Lytechinus pictus: one gene and its partner. The protein of the gene in region 1 purifies or fractionates together with the protein of each later gene. This does not show direct contact. Links are inferred from orthologs where the notes say so. Each region holds a gene or a part of one and is shown on either strand. Other genes may lie near its edges.

Evidence for each region. The genes of interacting proteins can lie anywhere in the genome.
Region 2: the proteins of sorting nexin-4-like (region 1) and sorting nexin-30-like purify together in Homo sapiens (co-immunoprecipitation; 4 studies listed by BioGRID and IntAct, counting the BioPlex papers as one, with this or other methods). This does not show direct contact. The link is inferred for Lytechinus pictus from reciprocal best matches to the Homo sapiens genes SNX4 and SNX30.

The regions. Positions count from the first base shown.
Region 1 is NC_087247.1:81,360,521-81,368,471, forward strand, and holds the start of sorting nexin-4-like, read right to left. Parts: upstream 3,007-7,951; 5' UTR 2,792-3,006; coding exon 2,693-2,791; intron 1-2,692. UniProt on the Homo sapiens protein: Involved in the regulation of endocytosis and in several stages of intracellular trafficking. Plays a role in recycling endocytosed transferrin receptor and prevent its degradation.
Region 2 is NC_087255.1:20,298,266-20,306,045, forward strand, and holds the start of sorting nexin-30-like, read left to right. Parts: upstream 1-4,770; 5' UTR 4,771-4,796; coding exon 4,797-4,925; intron 4,926-7,780. UniProt on the Homo sapiens protein: Involved in the regulation of endocytosis and in several stages of intracellular trafficking. Together with SNX4, involved in autophagosome assembly.

The DNA of each region.
Region 1 (7,951 bases):
ATCTTATCAAAATCCACAAAATCTTAAGTAGATGAAAAAGTAATATTTTATTTAAATCCTATCACAAAAGAAATGTACTTTATACATGTACATACTTGTATCTGGTTGATTTTCTTAAGATGAGGGAGTGAGGAAATTGAAGATGATACCAGCCCACAAAAGTAGTAATTTGAAAACATGATCGCGAATACAATTACCATGTTTATTGACATCAATACGATGATCATATTGAAAACTAAACTTTTATAAGAAAAAGAACATGATGAATACTCTTGAAAAGAGAAAAATGAGAAACTTTGGAAAATAGGTGTAAATGATACACATGGTACATGTGCATATTATATTAAAAGGATTTTTTTAAACTATTTTATTGTGCAATGTTTTAACTTATATACCTTGTAATGGTCATGAAGGACCATTTGTGAAATGTTGAAAAGAAAAAGAAAAAAAAATCTCATGTTCACCCCTGGGTTCCAACCCTTGACCCTAAGAACGCAAGTCTGATGCCTTATCAACTGAGCTACACTATTTCCCATAGACTTTACACATAAGCACTATTTCCCATAGACTTTACACATATGCAAATTGAGAGGATCTCAAATCCAATTTTGCAAGTGAAATACGGGCATGATCTCGGCATCTGATCAGAAAATGAAGACCACAGTTGCGATAGCTTACAATCTCACCTACAACATACTTCAAGCTCAGAGAAAACCGACAAAAAGAAATGAAGATATGGCTCGCGAAATAGAAGAATGTAAAATCAAGTTTTGAGAAAAAGTCATTTTCCATAGAGATTGCACACAAAATGAGCGAAAATGACATGCCTCTATAACTTGCCATTTTTCAGGATGATCCATTCCTTTAAAAGAAAATATAGCCATCAAATTAAAAAGAGTATGTCCTCAGCTACAACATATTGAAAACTGAGCGAAAATTGGCCAATATTTGAGGAGTTAGTGTCAAATTTGCATAACTATGATGACGTCATAGGTAGCAAAGTGGGAATTTTGAGTTTCGACGCCACTTTGATGACGTCATGATAAAATTAAGGGTCAAATGTGACATGAAATCATATCTCCCATTTATACACTATTGGAATATGAAAAAAAAAATTGGGGGTCAACGGACTATCTAAAGAGCTATAATGAATTTTGTATAGGCATGTTTTTGCACATATATTGTCTATGGTTAGTGCGCGCACGCGTGCGTGCTGTAAACTTTGATGGAGGCTTATTCCGTTATTACTTGTCGTAAAAGGTTGATCAAGGTATCAAATTATTCAGAATTATATTATCAATGCATTGATATAAAGAAAATGGCGACCCTATGCTCTATAGTGCCGTTACGCGCGAGAACGCGCGTGTAACCGTGCGCGCGCACAAATTTTTGAAATGCTTAAAATGACCTGATTCGTACTCTACTTTGGTCAAAATGTGATTTTGAGCATTTTAAAATTTTGACGCGCGCATTCGCACGCATCGTGACCTTTACATGACCTTTAATGACATGGACAGTTGACCCTTGACCTGAAGTTAATGTGATGTAAATATTGTTAATTTTTTAAAATTGATAATGAAGATATGATTGATAACGTGATTTTACAAAATGGCGTCTAGATGACGTCATGATGACCTTTTGACCTTGAACTTGTTTTATACACATCACATGATACGTCCCCATATCTGATGATATTCTGAAGATAATTGATCATGTAGATTTGGAGATTTTGTGCTAACAAGAAAAGGGCGGCAAATAAAGAAAAATAATAAATAAATAAAAAAGAAAATTCGATTGACAGATCACCTAATAATAAATAAATAAAAAAGAAAATTCGTACGAAATTAAGAGTTGATCTGTCGATTGACAGATCACCTAATTACCCCTTCATACTAATTAGCGGCTTATGAGTCATTAAAGGATTTCTGTGGACTGCAAGATTGTGACTTTAAAAAACAGAAACGAGCCACCTGTTGTTTCATGTTGTTGGTATACATGTACATGCAAGCCTACTTCATTAAAACCCCCGTCACACTAGAGGCGGAATGAGCCGGAATGCCGTCGGAATGAAAATTCTTGGTACATTCCTGGATATTCGAAGCGCATTCTAAAAATTCTGACTGCATTCTGAGTGCATTCCAGACATTCGGGTCCATTCTTGTGACCGGCCCGAATGTTTTGCTCATGTTCAAAACTGTCGAAGTGCATTCGAAGTGGAGAAATATTGAATGACATTCGAAGTGCCGTGCTCTCTGACTGCATTCTACATATTCTTACGACATTCTAACAGCATTCTTAATATTCTTCCTGTGTTCCGACTGTATTCGAGCTGCATTTGACAGTCAATACACCCGGAATGTGCAAGAATCATTCAAGGCGGGATCAAAGGACGTTCTAAGTATTTGAACGACATTTTTGCAAAAGTAGTGAAAATTTCAAATTCCCTCCCGAATGTGGCACGAATTTTGAAAGTTCTTCATTCCAGCTGGTTCTGCTCGATTCCTGCTGATTCCGAATAAGTGTGACGGGGGTAGAAAACATTATCATCTGTTGAACTAAGAAACATGGACAATCAATAATGCACTGTATCAAGAGTATACAAGTCAAACAGGTACAGTGTATTTGTACAGTATGCACATACTTCCAGTGTATCTCAATGTGATCTGCTCTAGCAGTAGCCCAATACACTCACCATCACCAATTTTGGTGCCTTGATTTCTCGAAGCATCTTCGGAGTACGCCCACCAGACAAGCGTCCGATCCTACTATAACCTTTCTGAATGTCCACCATATGTCCAGCAAAGTGACAACAATAAGCTCCAAAATAAGATAATACAGCTAAATAGAGTTCAGGAAGCTTGTCTTAATAGTGTTCCTCTAAATTAATTCTGGCTTATGTGTGATTTATTAGGATTGGAGAATGAGGGTGGAGGATGGCTGATGTAGAGAGAGCACTGTATGCATAATATCAAGTGTGACTCACACCCATAATTTGCTGGTTTCATCTCCTTTTCCCCCAACTGTTCCTCATCTACTCACCTCTCTCTCTCTCATCAAGGGGGTACTCTAATAAACACACATACATGCATGTACACACATAGACACATACTGTATATCATTACATGTTTTTAGCTTACCGTTATCTCTCCCATTCTCAATCTCCTTGCCCTTAAAATCACAGTTTCTTTTCCTCATCTGCACTCGCCACCTCTTGACCACTTCTTTCTCTCTCTCTTCTACCTCTTTCTCCCTCTCTTTCTATCTCCCAATTTCTCAGAGAATATGCTTGGTAAAAGGCAACCATAGCATTAAATTTATTCATTAATCTTCCTTGCTCATTCAAGATTATCTACAGAAATAGAGCAAAGATTATTGATATGACCATACTTTGCTCAAAAGAATGGAAGGATGGGTAAATGAAGGTTACAGAAATTGAAGGAAAGAGGAACAAGTGGAATGCCTCTGGCCGTCTCACCTGCATCACGCAATTCAATATAGCAGCAGTGCTGATTTTGAAAAATACTATGACTCGCACAAGATGTTCAGTGATACTTGGTTACTCTTATTTCCACGTTTTATGAACTAGACCAATACACTTAAAGAGATATGATGGCAATTCAACAAATACATGTACCAGCAACGTGGCCAAAGTTCTTTGACCTTACATGACCTTTGACCTTGATCATGTGACCTGAAACTCGCACAGGATGTTCAGTGATACCTGATTACTCTTATGTCCAAGTTTTATGAACTAGACCAACACACTTTCAAATTTATGGCTGTAATTCAACAAATACCCCAATTTGGCCAAAGTTCATTGACCCTAAATGACCTTTGACCTTGATCATGTGACCTGAAACTTGCACAGGATGTTCAGTAATACTTGATTACTATTATGTCCAAGTTTCATGAATCAGATCCATAAACTTTCAAAGTTATGATGGTAATTCAACAGATACCCCCAATTTGGCCAAAGTTCATTGACCCTAAATGACCTTTGACCTTGGTCATGTGACGTGAAACTCATGCAGGATGTTCAGTGATACTTGATTAACCTTATGTATAAGTTTCATGAACTAGGTCCATATATTTTCTAAGTTATGATGACATTTCAAAAACTTAACCTTAGGTTAAGATTTTGATGTTGATTCCCCCAACATGGTCTAAGTTCATTGACCCTAAATGACCTTTGACCTTGGTCATGTGACATGAAACTCAGGCAGGATGTTCAGTAATACTTGATTAACCTTATGGCCAAGTTTCATGAACTAGGTCCATATACTTTCTAAGTTATGCTGTCATTTCAAAAACTTAACCTCAGGTTAAGATTTGGTGTTGACGCCGCCACCGCCGCCGCCGTCGCCGCCGCCGTCGGAAAAGCGGCGCCTATAGTCTCACTCTGCTATGCAGGTGAGACAAAAACCAAAAAGACAAACTTCATAGATGGTGCACAAAGGATATGAGTTAAAGTGAAATATTGCAAAATATCAATTACTATTACTATTGTTGTTATAATAATAGGCATTTATATAGCGCCATCTATCTATAAATATTCTATTCCGAGGCGCGTTGTTATTATTATTACCCCGGCTTTGGCTCGAGCTGCATTTCAGCGCTCATGCATTCAAGGAATTAATCTTGTCGGGTACCCATTCACCTCACCTGGGTTGAGTGCAGCACAATGTGGAAGAATTTCTTGCTGAAGGAAATTGTAATTACTGATGTCCTTTATTATTATACATTTATAATTATTATCACAATATCATTACTATTTTCATATTATCATTCATTATCATATGCATCATCATTCTTATCATCATCACTATCATCATTTTCTTTTTCATCATCATCATTACTAATTTACTATTATTATACATTTTTATCCTATTTGCGAAATAAAGATTGAATCTTGAATCATGAGGTCATGTCTTGGGGCCCTACAGACCGATTCCCACCATATTTGGGTTGTGGGTGTTTTTCATCATGCTCTACCAAAATTGCATAGGTTACAAAGCACATGTTAACATCGTCGCGTTCAACACCAATAACAAGCAAGCAATGACCCGCCGTGTAGCTAGTTGTAGGTCGGGATAACTTGCGCTCCATAGTTATTTGTAAAGTGGAAATTGATAATAACCGTATCAGACCGCCTCGATCACATTACAAGAATTCGTGTTATTATTTCCGCATTCATACATTCCGTCCCGAAGAGACTTCCGAGAAATTCTCGAAGTTACGAGCATGCGCATTATGGTCTGGAAAGCGGGCAAGGAGCGAATTCAAACTCGCCAGTCTGCAACTCATGGCGCCCAGGCGACCACGCCGGGGGCAGGTCCGGGGGTACTTAGATTTGGTTTGGACGGGGGTGTGCGGCTGATGCGGGATCAATACCCATACCCATTACGGGTCATTTTTGCTAAAAGGTATCAATTATTAGGGCTTAAAACTTGACCAAAAAAAGGTTATCACCCCAAATTTGAGAATATGGACCCATGTTTAAGGCCAATATCTAAAAATTGGGGGCATGAACCCATGTATCTAAAAACAAGTATCTTAAAATTGGGGCCATGCATGTTTAGGGATTTTCCAGCATAAAACCATACCCCGTGTTTCTTCCAAAAGAGCGACCCATTTCAGCGGCACATCCCCGTATACCTTATTTCGTAAGTACCCCCCCCCCCCCCGGCTCTAAATGTATTCAAAATTTTCTGAACTCAGATATTAGACTTGCACGTAATTAATTCCTAGTAATTTTTCTATTACATGGCTCGACTGTATTGATCTTTTATTTTCACTTAGCCGATACCATAATAAGACTCGTGAAACGAAAATGAGTAGTTTATCCTGTATCTAAAAGTCAGATCCGACTTGGAGAGAAGCGATTATCACATAAAGGGTCGTAATCATGCAGTCATGCATTACAGTTTTATAGCTACCGGTATCAGAAATATGTATTTGTACCCGACTTTGTTACATTTCTCTTAATGCTGGCTTCCAATCGTAAATTTTGTGAGTGGAATTGTTTTGCGCATGTCCGGCTGCCTCCGACCGCACAGGCGCTGACCCCCGTTGACTACCGGTAGATCCACGGCCAACCGTCGTCTCGACTCTACTGCCTGGGTACTGGAGAAGTACCAGGCCAGGCCCAGGGTCGAGTCACTTGTACAAGAACAAGTTCTACATTTGCCTGACTTTTGAAAGAGCCTCTATTTTGAGGCTCGGGTTGTGGAGTAGGGATTTTCGTTTATTTGGTTCTCTGGTTATTTTATTATTTTGTTTCTTTTACGGGCGTTGTAACTATTCCCTTCTTCTACCACAGTGCGTCCCCCCCAAAAAAAAAACTATACACTTTTGAAATGGCTGCCAAATAAAAAATATATCACTTTGGGGGGGAAAGACATGTTATGGAAGCCATTAAAATCAACTTTCTCATGACACCAAAAAGTTGAAATACTATCACGTTTGAGCGAACACTGCCTACTGAAACAAAGGGTATATGAAAATTAGGCTGGGCTGGAATTAGCGGCCTTCCATTTTTTCTCAGTTTTTGAGGGGCAAATAATTTGGCTTTGGAACTTGCAATGTTAAGGGCGTTGTGATGAATTATTGATCAATCGTGACCAGTAATGAATGTTTAAGCAAGTTTCATAAATTATTCAATGGAACAAAAATTTTGGGCAGCATTTCAACATTATCATGTGGCTCTCAGCAAAGTGTTCATTGGAGTCAAGAAAATAGGGGGTGAGATTGGACGTAAGTGGGAGAAGTAAGTTGATGGAATAAGGGTCAACAGAACATTTTAGCCCCCCTCTCTCTCTCTCGCCCTCCCCTTCTGTTGAGTGACTGACTTTTATTGTCATGTACGCGTGAAGTCCAGAGCAGAATGTTTATTTAATTATGATAATTGGGGCATCAACTTTTCCTATCAATCAACAATTAATCAATAAATCAACTATTTCAATGGGCAACGTAATCAATCAAACATTCAGTTTTCAATAAAGTATTTCATAAATTATCATAATCAAGTCAATTTCTTGGTAATCATTCAATAAAAAGAAAAAAAATGACTATCAGCCACCGGTCACTTCAGTGGGAAATAAGTTTTGAATAGGCTACCATCCAGGAAGTGAGAGGGGTCTAGGAAATTGAGGGGGGTGGAGATACATAAGAATTTTTATTTGTAAAATGACAAAAAGAAGATGAATGCCCTTTCAACCAAGTCTTACCTTATCTCGCCCTCTCGCTTGTAACAGGTAACCCCGGGGGGGGGGGGGGAGCACTTACTAAATTTACAATTCCTGTTCACTCAACCATCATTCTTACAAGTTTCAAAAATCATATTTGTTGGGAAAATCCAGCATAAGTGTTACCTTCCTCTTAAAAATCCCAAACCTAGGATTTTTTAAGTCACCATGCAATCAAATTTTCCCTCATTGTGATGTCAACCATACGATAAATAGACATAAGGAGAAAAATTCGTCCATAATTGACATCGTATACCATTATGTTACCTGGTTATTGATCATTCGTTCTCTGTATATGAGGTTCATGGGTCGAATCTCGAACCAACTGAAGAGAGTTGCAGCTCCGTAATTAGTTTGAAGTAGAAGTTCGCCTTGGTGAGAAACACTCGATGATACTGTTCAGTCTAGGACCTACCTTTAATTTTCAAATGAAATTAAATCTCGACAAACATGCCCCTTCCCCCACTGTCATGCCGTCACAATCACCATAATCATAATCACTGTAATCATAAAAACTAGGATTATTATCATAATTAATCTCAGCACCTTCATCACTGTCATTATCACCGTCATCATCATAAAACAAATCATCACCGCGGGCGGCATAGCAGAGGATATATCCTTATGTTCATAGGGTGCATCATTATTGTCCGCCACAGCAAAATATTATCCTCTGGTCATCACTATTATTGCTACCATAATCATCA
Region 2 (7,780 bases), on another chromosome or scaffold:
ATGTCAAGGCGACCGCACACATTACGATTGGTCTGCGACTCGATTTCAGAATAAAACGTAGTAGAATTTGATGCTAATATTGAGACTTGGAATATCTTACTGAGTAATGTTCGAAATCATCGTACGAAAACCTATGTTCAAATCAGTGATTATGATATCTTCCTTCTTAGAATAAAAGCAAATTTAATATCTAGTCGTCATAGCAGTCGTACGATTTGAAACTAATTTGGCCTTTACTCCAAAATAAAGGCTTGCTATCTTTCAAAATGGTTATATTAGTATTCTGTCAATTAATTTTAACCTCAAATAAAATGATATGTTCCCTTCACATTCTCAGAAAATGAGCAAACTGCGATTTGTTCCAAAATCGGATCGCGAACAGTGTGCGGTGGCCTTAAAGCTTGATATAGGAAGGGTCCCTACAGGTGGGGGCGTTATAGAGCCATTTGAAGGTTATAGATGAAGATCCCCTACTGCGTATAGGGTCTGCATGGGGCAAAACCCCGGTAGCTTATCTGCATAGAATTTAGCAAGCTTATAGCACAATGTTGTATGCTGTCCATCTTTATTCCCGCTCTTTATTTTCAATCCTCGGCAGCCCGGTCGTGTTATTATTATTTTTTGTCCCTTTTCTTTGTTTTCCAATTTAGCTTTTTACTAATTCCATTCTACTTTCGTTTCCCGCTATTTTTGCCACTTTGTCATCTTTTAATTTATTTCTCATCATGCTATTGCATTATATAGGCCTATTTCAGAATGATTTGTTCTTTCTCAAATGTTCTCTTTCGTTCCTTTTCCCGCTTTCCTTCCTTTTCCCGCTTTCCTTCCTTTTCCATCAAAAAAATTCTTCGTTTTCTTTTCACTTTTCCCTAATTTCCCTTTCGTTTTCCCCCTATCCTTCCCCTTTTCTTTTCTTTCTCCCTCCCTTTTCTCCTTTTCCTTTTTTTTTATTTTCCCGGTGAAATCCGCAGGGGGGGGGGGGGCAGCTTGCCCACCTGCCCCCCCCCCCGCCTGTTACGTACTGAATTTAGGGCTCGAACCTCTGCATCATTTTGTAAATTCCCCATTTGGCTTGGATTACAGGCGCACAGCCACAGCGCCCAGGTTGTGGAAAGGTTTTGGAAGTAGGGGGATGGGGGTGGCTGACCATGCCAACAAAAAATCACAACCAGATGGTCATTTTACGTTTCTGTAAACAAGGTGTGGGATCTAAAGCCCCCCCCCCCCCCCCCCCCCCCTCCTGATCCGCTGCCCCTGATGCACCATATTTGGTCTCCTCAAATTGTTATATCGCTATGCCACTGCTGAAGGATATGCAAAGAATAACACAAAAATTATACAGAGACGTCAAAATGATGGTCGGGATAGGTGATGTAGGGAGTCGTGGAAATATCTGGTGAATTATTCGTTGGTCTATTACTACCAAATATTTCAAATCCTGAACATTATCGACGTTGATTATAGAAGTTGCTGCAGGGACTTGTCCATTTTTTATGCAACATTTTTATAGCTCTTAATTCAAATGTTTCTAAGTGCTGCATACTATTACCCCGGCTTTATCACTGCTATCCTAATCGGAAGGAGCTTATAATGAATTTCTTCCTACAGGGTACCCATTTTCTACACCTGGGTTGAGAGTGGCAAATGTAGATAAACGCCTTGTCAAAGGACGCGAGTGCTGCGGTGGGATTTGAACCCCGGACCTTGTGGTTCAAAGTCCGGGGACTTATCCACTGATGGAAAAACCATCCACTAAAGTTTTTACCCCACCATAGACTATCCAACGTGACGATCGAGGGCAAATAAGCTACAATTAAGCTTCACGTCTCTACATCCAAGTAAATCAAATTAAGTAAAGATATAATACAATTAATGAATTCTTATAATGGAAGGAAAATCATTGTGAAGAGGAAGATCCAGGATTTGAAAATTTAGGAATCGGGAATTAAATTATTTTTATTTGTTTCCGCGTGGGAAACTGCACATTTTAAAATAACAACCTTTCATTCCAAAAACAATAAAGGGGGATTAACACATTGTAAGCATTAATTGCTTTTACTGGACCCCTCATTCCATTATGCTTTATTTTTATTGAATTTCTTGAACATGGCATTCATTAAATATTTTATGATTTATTTTGTATTATATATTTGAATTTAAATAATTAAAAGAATCGAATTCAATTTCAATAGATACGTAACTGAAGGGAGAAATCTGACATTGCAATTAATGAGTAGATTTCAATCAATGACTGATCAAAATTGCCGACTTCTACATTAGCTATTTTGCAAGCTAGGGTCCCCCGCCTTTTAAGGTCTGTTCCAGGGGTTCAAATTGAATATATTGTTTTAGAGTATTGTCATTTTGGGTTACTAGCGCGTCGATTATAAATGGGAATATGTTCCGTGCACACTCCTGGCTTTAGTCCAAAGATATGGATACAGATAATGCATCTCAGTTACAATTTCAGTTATGTAAAAATGGGATTTGAATAAAGCAAAAGTTGAATGATTGATCGCAAAATAAACAATACGAAACGTGTACACAAAACAAGACAATACAAACGCAGGAAATCAAATAATTGATCTAAGAATTTTTTTTTCCGGATGACCAAAATATGAAAAAGTCGACCTCGAGATGCTGTAACACAGATTTTGCACTTATCACAAATTCCATCTGTCTGGCTTGAATATTCGTGCAGTCAAGCGATTAAGCCGTGTATTATGTGTTGTAATTGAGCTTATTGTATCCCCTTCTGACTTGTAGTATTATCGCAAGAGTTGGAACCTTTTAGGGAGTCGATTTGATTTAAGGGTGGGGGCTGCATGGGGGGATCTTCCAAGATTCGACAGTAGTTGCATTAAAATCACTTGCGACCTTTTGTTTCTGTCATTTTTTTCACGGGTTATTCAGATGTTACAGCAGCATAAATGTATAATTCATCGTAATTATTGCAATTTTAAAGGATGTATTTTCTTCCGTTTAACCTCTCCCACATGTTTTCTTTATAGTTATAGGTTATCGACCTTAATTCCTGAATGAAAAAAAGAGAAAATGTGGAACTTTTTTGGGCTACTGCTGCATGAGAAAGATTGATGACATCAATCGTGATGTAGGGACCACACCACCAATGTTAAACAGCAATAAAAATAAGTAAATGAATGGATGAATGAATAAATAAATTAAAAAAAAAACGAGTGAATAAATATATATATATATATATATATATATATATATAAATTATATATATATACAGTATATATATATGTATATATATATATATGTGTATATGTGTGTATATAAATAAATGAATGGATAAATAATGAATGAATGAATAAAAATGAACGATAATAAGGGCATACAAAAATAAAAAATGAATAAATCTTTAAAAGACCCAGTTGTTTTGTTTTTCTTCAATTGATGTGACGTCATGATGAGATCGACCAATCAGATTCAAAGGAGGAAGTTGCAGGGAAGCTGTGAGGTGGAAAAGGAGAAATATATCAAGAGAGAAATCACAGTAGCCATGGTTTATTCCCCCTTTTTTTCATATGGAAAACTAGCGGACAGAAGGTCCTCGCTGCACGCGCGCACCCTTATAACACGCAGAATTCCCTTGCATTATACCCTTTTTTCACAAACAAATGTGTATCAAGGACAAGCGTTGATTCAGATAGAATTTCCGCCCCCCTGAAATGAATGGTAACAACTTCTTCTATCAGATGACCATAATTTTCTTTACATTCAATTGGTGGGAAATATGGCACTTTATTACATTAAAATCACTAAAAACCATCCATAGTCAGAATATGTATTGGGATAATGGGTTTGGGGGACATTTTTATAGTACCCGGGTGGATTATATCCCTCGTCACATCGGTGGGTGGTGGTATCATGAATTTCCGCCCAGATTACAATAAAGGGCACATTGTAAGGCAAATACTCATGAAAGAACCATGGAGATTGGTTAATAAGGAAATAGGGCACTTTTATCATCAAATCAGAGGAGATTTTCTTTGTGATAGTGATGTCCGAAGAGCAAACCTACACTCGTGACGGGTCCATTATGTATACGAGGGGTGCATCCTAGCTTACCACTGCATAGCTAAGTCTGAAAATTAAGTTTTGCTTATTTCTTTCATTTTATAATGATGTTTAAATGTTCAAACAACGATAATTCATGAAAATTGACTCAAAATATTGCGAATCAACGCTGAAACATTATCTGTGTATACATTTTATCCCTCTGTAATGCTATTTCACCCATAAAGCCGCAATGGAACATTCCGCACCACTAGTCATACGATGATCGCGAGGTCTGCAAACGTCGTCTGCTATGTTTTTACATGTCCGGTACACTGCATACAAGTTTTCGATATGTGGGGGGGGGGGGCAAACTGAATAATCGTAGGCTAAGAAAACGGGCAATTAAAGTGACGTGTAATCTAAAAAAAAATTGGCATTAATCCATGGATCCTACTAGTTCTAGTAGGACCCATGATCAAACTGCCGACGAAGACATCACACGCCCAGAAAGCAGAATACACACGCGTTCTTACGGCTGGTATTTCTAGCAGACTACACTTTGTTTACGTGCGCAAGCTTGGCAAATATGATCGGAATATTTGATTAATTGTTATTTAAATTGAGATAAAAAATCAAATATTTTACTTAAATTTAATATATGCAGTATTTTCTTTAATTTTATTGTTTTGAACTATTTTTGTATACAAATAATGAATACATTCTTAACGTAAATGTCTATATCTGCAAATTGGCTACAATATATCTCCAACATGGCAGAAATCACAGAAACACCCACCAATGTTATTGGTGAAGAGAATCACGAAAATGGAACGAAAGATGGCAAAGATATTCACCCGCTAGCAGCTGCAATGGATGATGAAGAAGAGGATATTATATCGGTATCGTATATTTTGATAAAACTATTTTTATGCTTTTTATTCCTCTTTTTTTTCTTGAGTAGCTTAGTGACGTGACTGTGAATGTGAATGATTGTGTCTGACTAGACTCTGAGTTGTGAGTGTGACAGATGCAGAGCTGTGTGGACCACTGTCTGTAGTGTGGAACTTCTGTGTGTCTGCTAGGCCTACAATTAAATCAGTCACAATCTTCTTCTTCCTCCGCTTATAGTATACTGGAGATCAACAGCAAGGTGCTGCGTAAAGAATGTCCATCAGCACTTAATGATTACAGAGAGGAAAGAGATGTAATCAGTAATAATCACGATAATAATGCGATCATATGCGACAATGGCATATCATATGGCAAAACTTCAAGTCTTAGAATAGCTGGCAGCCGTCTGTTTCGAGGAGGAGTTTTTTAACATTTTTATTTTTTTTAATTTCTCCTCGTACACAGACGTCTCGCTATCGTGCAGCCACCATTAGGGGTTAACAATGCAAAATCCCCCCGACGGGGCTCATCGATTTTTGTCTCTATTTCATAAAAATATATAAAAAGAACTGTACAAAAATAAAGATTATTATTCCGTTTTGGCCTGAATTGCACCAGAACGGGGAAAAATAAACCTAAAAGGGGGAAAAAAACAGTGACTTACTTCGGCTGTCGCGCAACTTCACTTCCCTGTTTTATCCGAACTTTATACATAAACATATGGCCATTGAGTCCCCTGTACAGATCGAGCTAGAACTTCGGTCTCTGTATTTGGTGAGTGGAGCCAACGGAGTTCAGTGGAACAACCAACATAACAGAGACCGAAGCTTTTGGTCTAGGCAAAACTTAGCCTTGAGGACTCCATTATGTTTTTTTATTAATATTTTGACATTTTTTTCTTCATCATGGAGCCTTGAACCGCATGCCATATATGCATAAGCGAGACCTCCACACCCAGATGGATTTCCCTAGGAAATCCATATTTACAGGGTGAAATCGGTTTACAAGTGGGAATTTTATTGATATTTGAACCTTCAAACGCCTAATCCGTATGAAGGTTAAAAAAATTGGTTAATAAAAAGGTGACAATTTTAAGGTTTCTTACCAGACCGATCTCGTGTAGATCCCTCATCCGTTTGTCAACAAAGCAAATACAATAGGTCTGACCCTTGAACCACTTCATTATGACGTACATTCGATTAGCGATGTTACAAAATGCTGTTTTGAAGAACAATTTATAGATACAAATTATTATTTAACAAATACTAAAATTTAATACGTGATTATAAATAATTATTTTATTAAAAATAATTATTAATGCGTATGAAGGTTCAAATATCAATAAAATTCCCACTTGTAAACCGATTTCACCCTGTAAATATGGATTTCCTAGGGAAAGCCATCCGGATGTGGAGGTCTCGCTTATGCATATATGGCAGGCGGTTCAAGGCTCCATGATGAAGAAGTATATGTCAAAATATTAAAAAAACATCATCATGGAGTCCTCAAGGCTAGGCAAAACTAGTAGTAGTAAGGGGCAACTCCAGTGCAATGTCTGCAATGTGCATCGACCTAGCCTTGAGGACTCCATGATGATGTTTTTTAAAATATTTTGACATAGACGCAGAAGCGAGACCTAGACACCCGGATGGATTTCCCTAGGAAATCCATAGTTAGAGGGTGAAATCGGTTTACAAGTGGGAATTTTATTGATATTTGAACCTTCAAATGCATAATGCGTATTAAGGTTCCAAAAATTGGAATAAAGAGGTGAAAATTTTAAGGTTTCTTACCAGACTGATCTCGTGTAGATCCCTCGATCCGTTTGTCACCAAAGCAAATACAATAGGTCTGACCCTTGAACCACTTCATTATGACGTACATTCGATTAGCGATGTTACAAAATGCTGTTTTGAAGAACAATTTATAGATACAAATTATTATTTAACAAATACTAAAATTTAATACGTGATTATAAATAATTATTTTATTAAAAATAATTATTAATGCGTATGAAGGTTCAAATATCAATAAAATTCCCACTTGTAAACCGATTTCACCCTGTAAATATGGATTTCCTAGGGAAAGCCATCCGGATGTGGAGGTCTCGCTTATGCATATATGGCAGGCGGTTCAAGGCTCCATGATGAAGAAGTATATGTCAAAATATTAAAAAAACATCATCATGGAGTCCTCAAGGCTAGGCAAAACTAGTAGTAGTAAGGGGCAACTCCAGTGCAATGTCTGCAATGTGCATCGACCTAGCCTTGAGGACTCCATGATGATGTTTTTTTTAATATTTTGACATAGACGCAGAAGCGAGACCTAGACACCCGGATGGATTTCCCTAGGAAATCCATAGTTAGAGGGTGAAATCGGTTTACAAGTGGGAATTTTATTGATATTTGAACCTTCAAACGCATAATGCGTATTAAGGTTCCAAAAATTGGAATAAAGAGGTGAAAATTTTAAGGTTTCTTACCAGACTGATCTCGTGTAGATCCCTCGATCCGTTTGTCAACAAAGCAAATACAATAGGTCTGACCCTTGAACCGCTTCGTTATGACGTACATTCGATTAGCGATGTTACAGAATGCCGTTTTGAAGAACAATTTATACAAAAAATAACAAATACTAAAATCTAATACGTGACTATAAATAATTATTATAATTTTTGATAATTTTCTGCACAAATGAGACGAAAACTAGGTAAGACTGATAAATATTTTCGGAGATATGATGCTTTGAATATTAGGTGGTCGATAAGGGGTAGTTCCAACCATACATGTATGTAAATGAGGAAACTTATGACGTCATCCACTCACTATTTCTTTTGTACTTTATTATGTGAAATATGAAATAT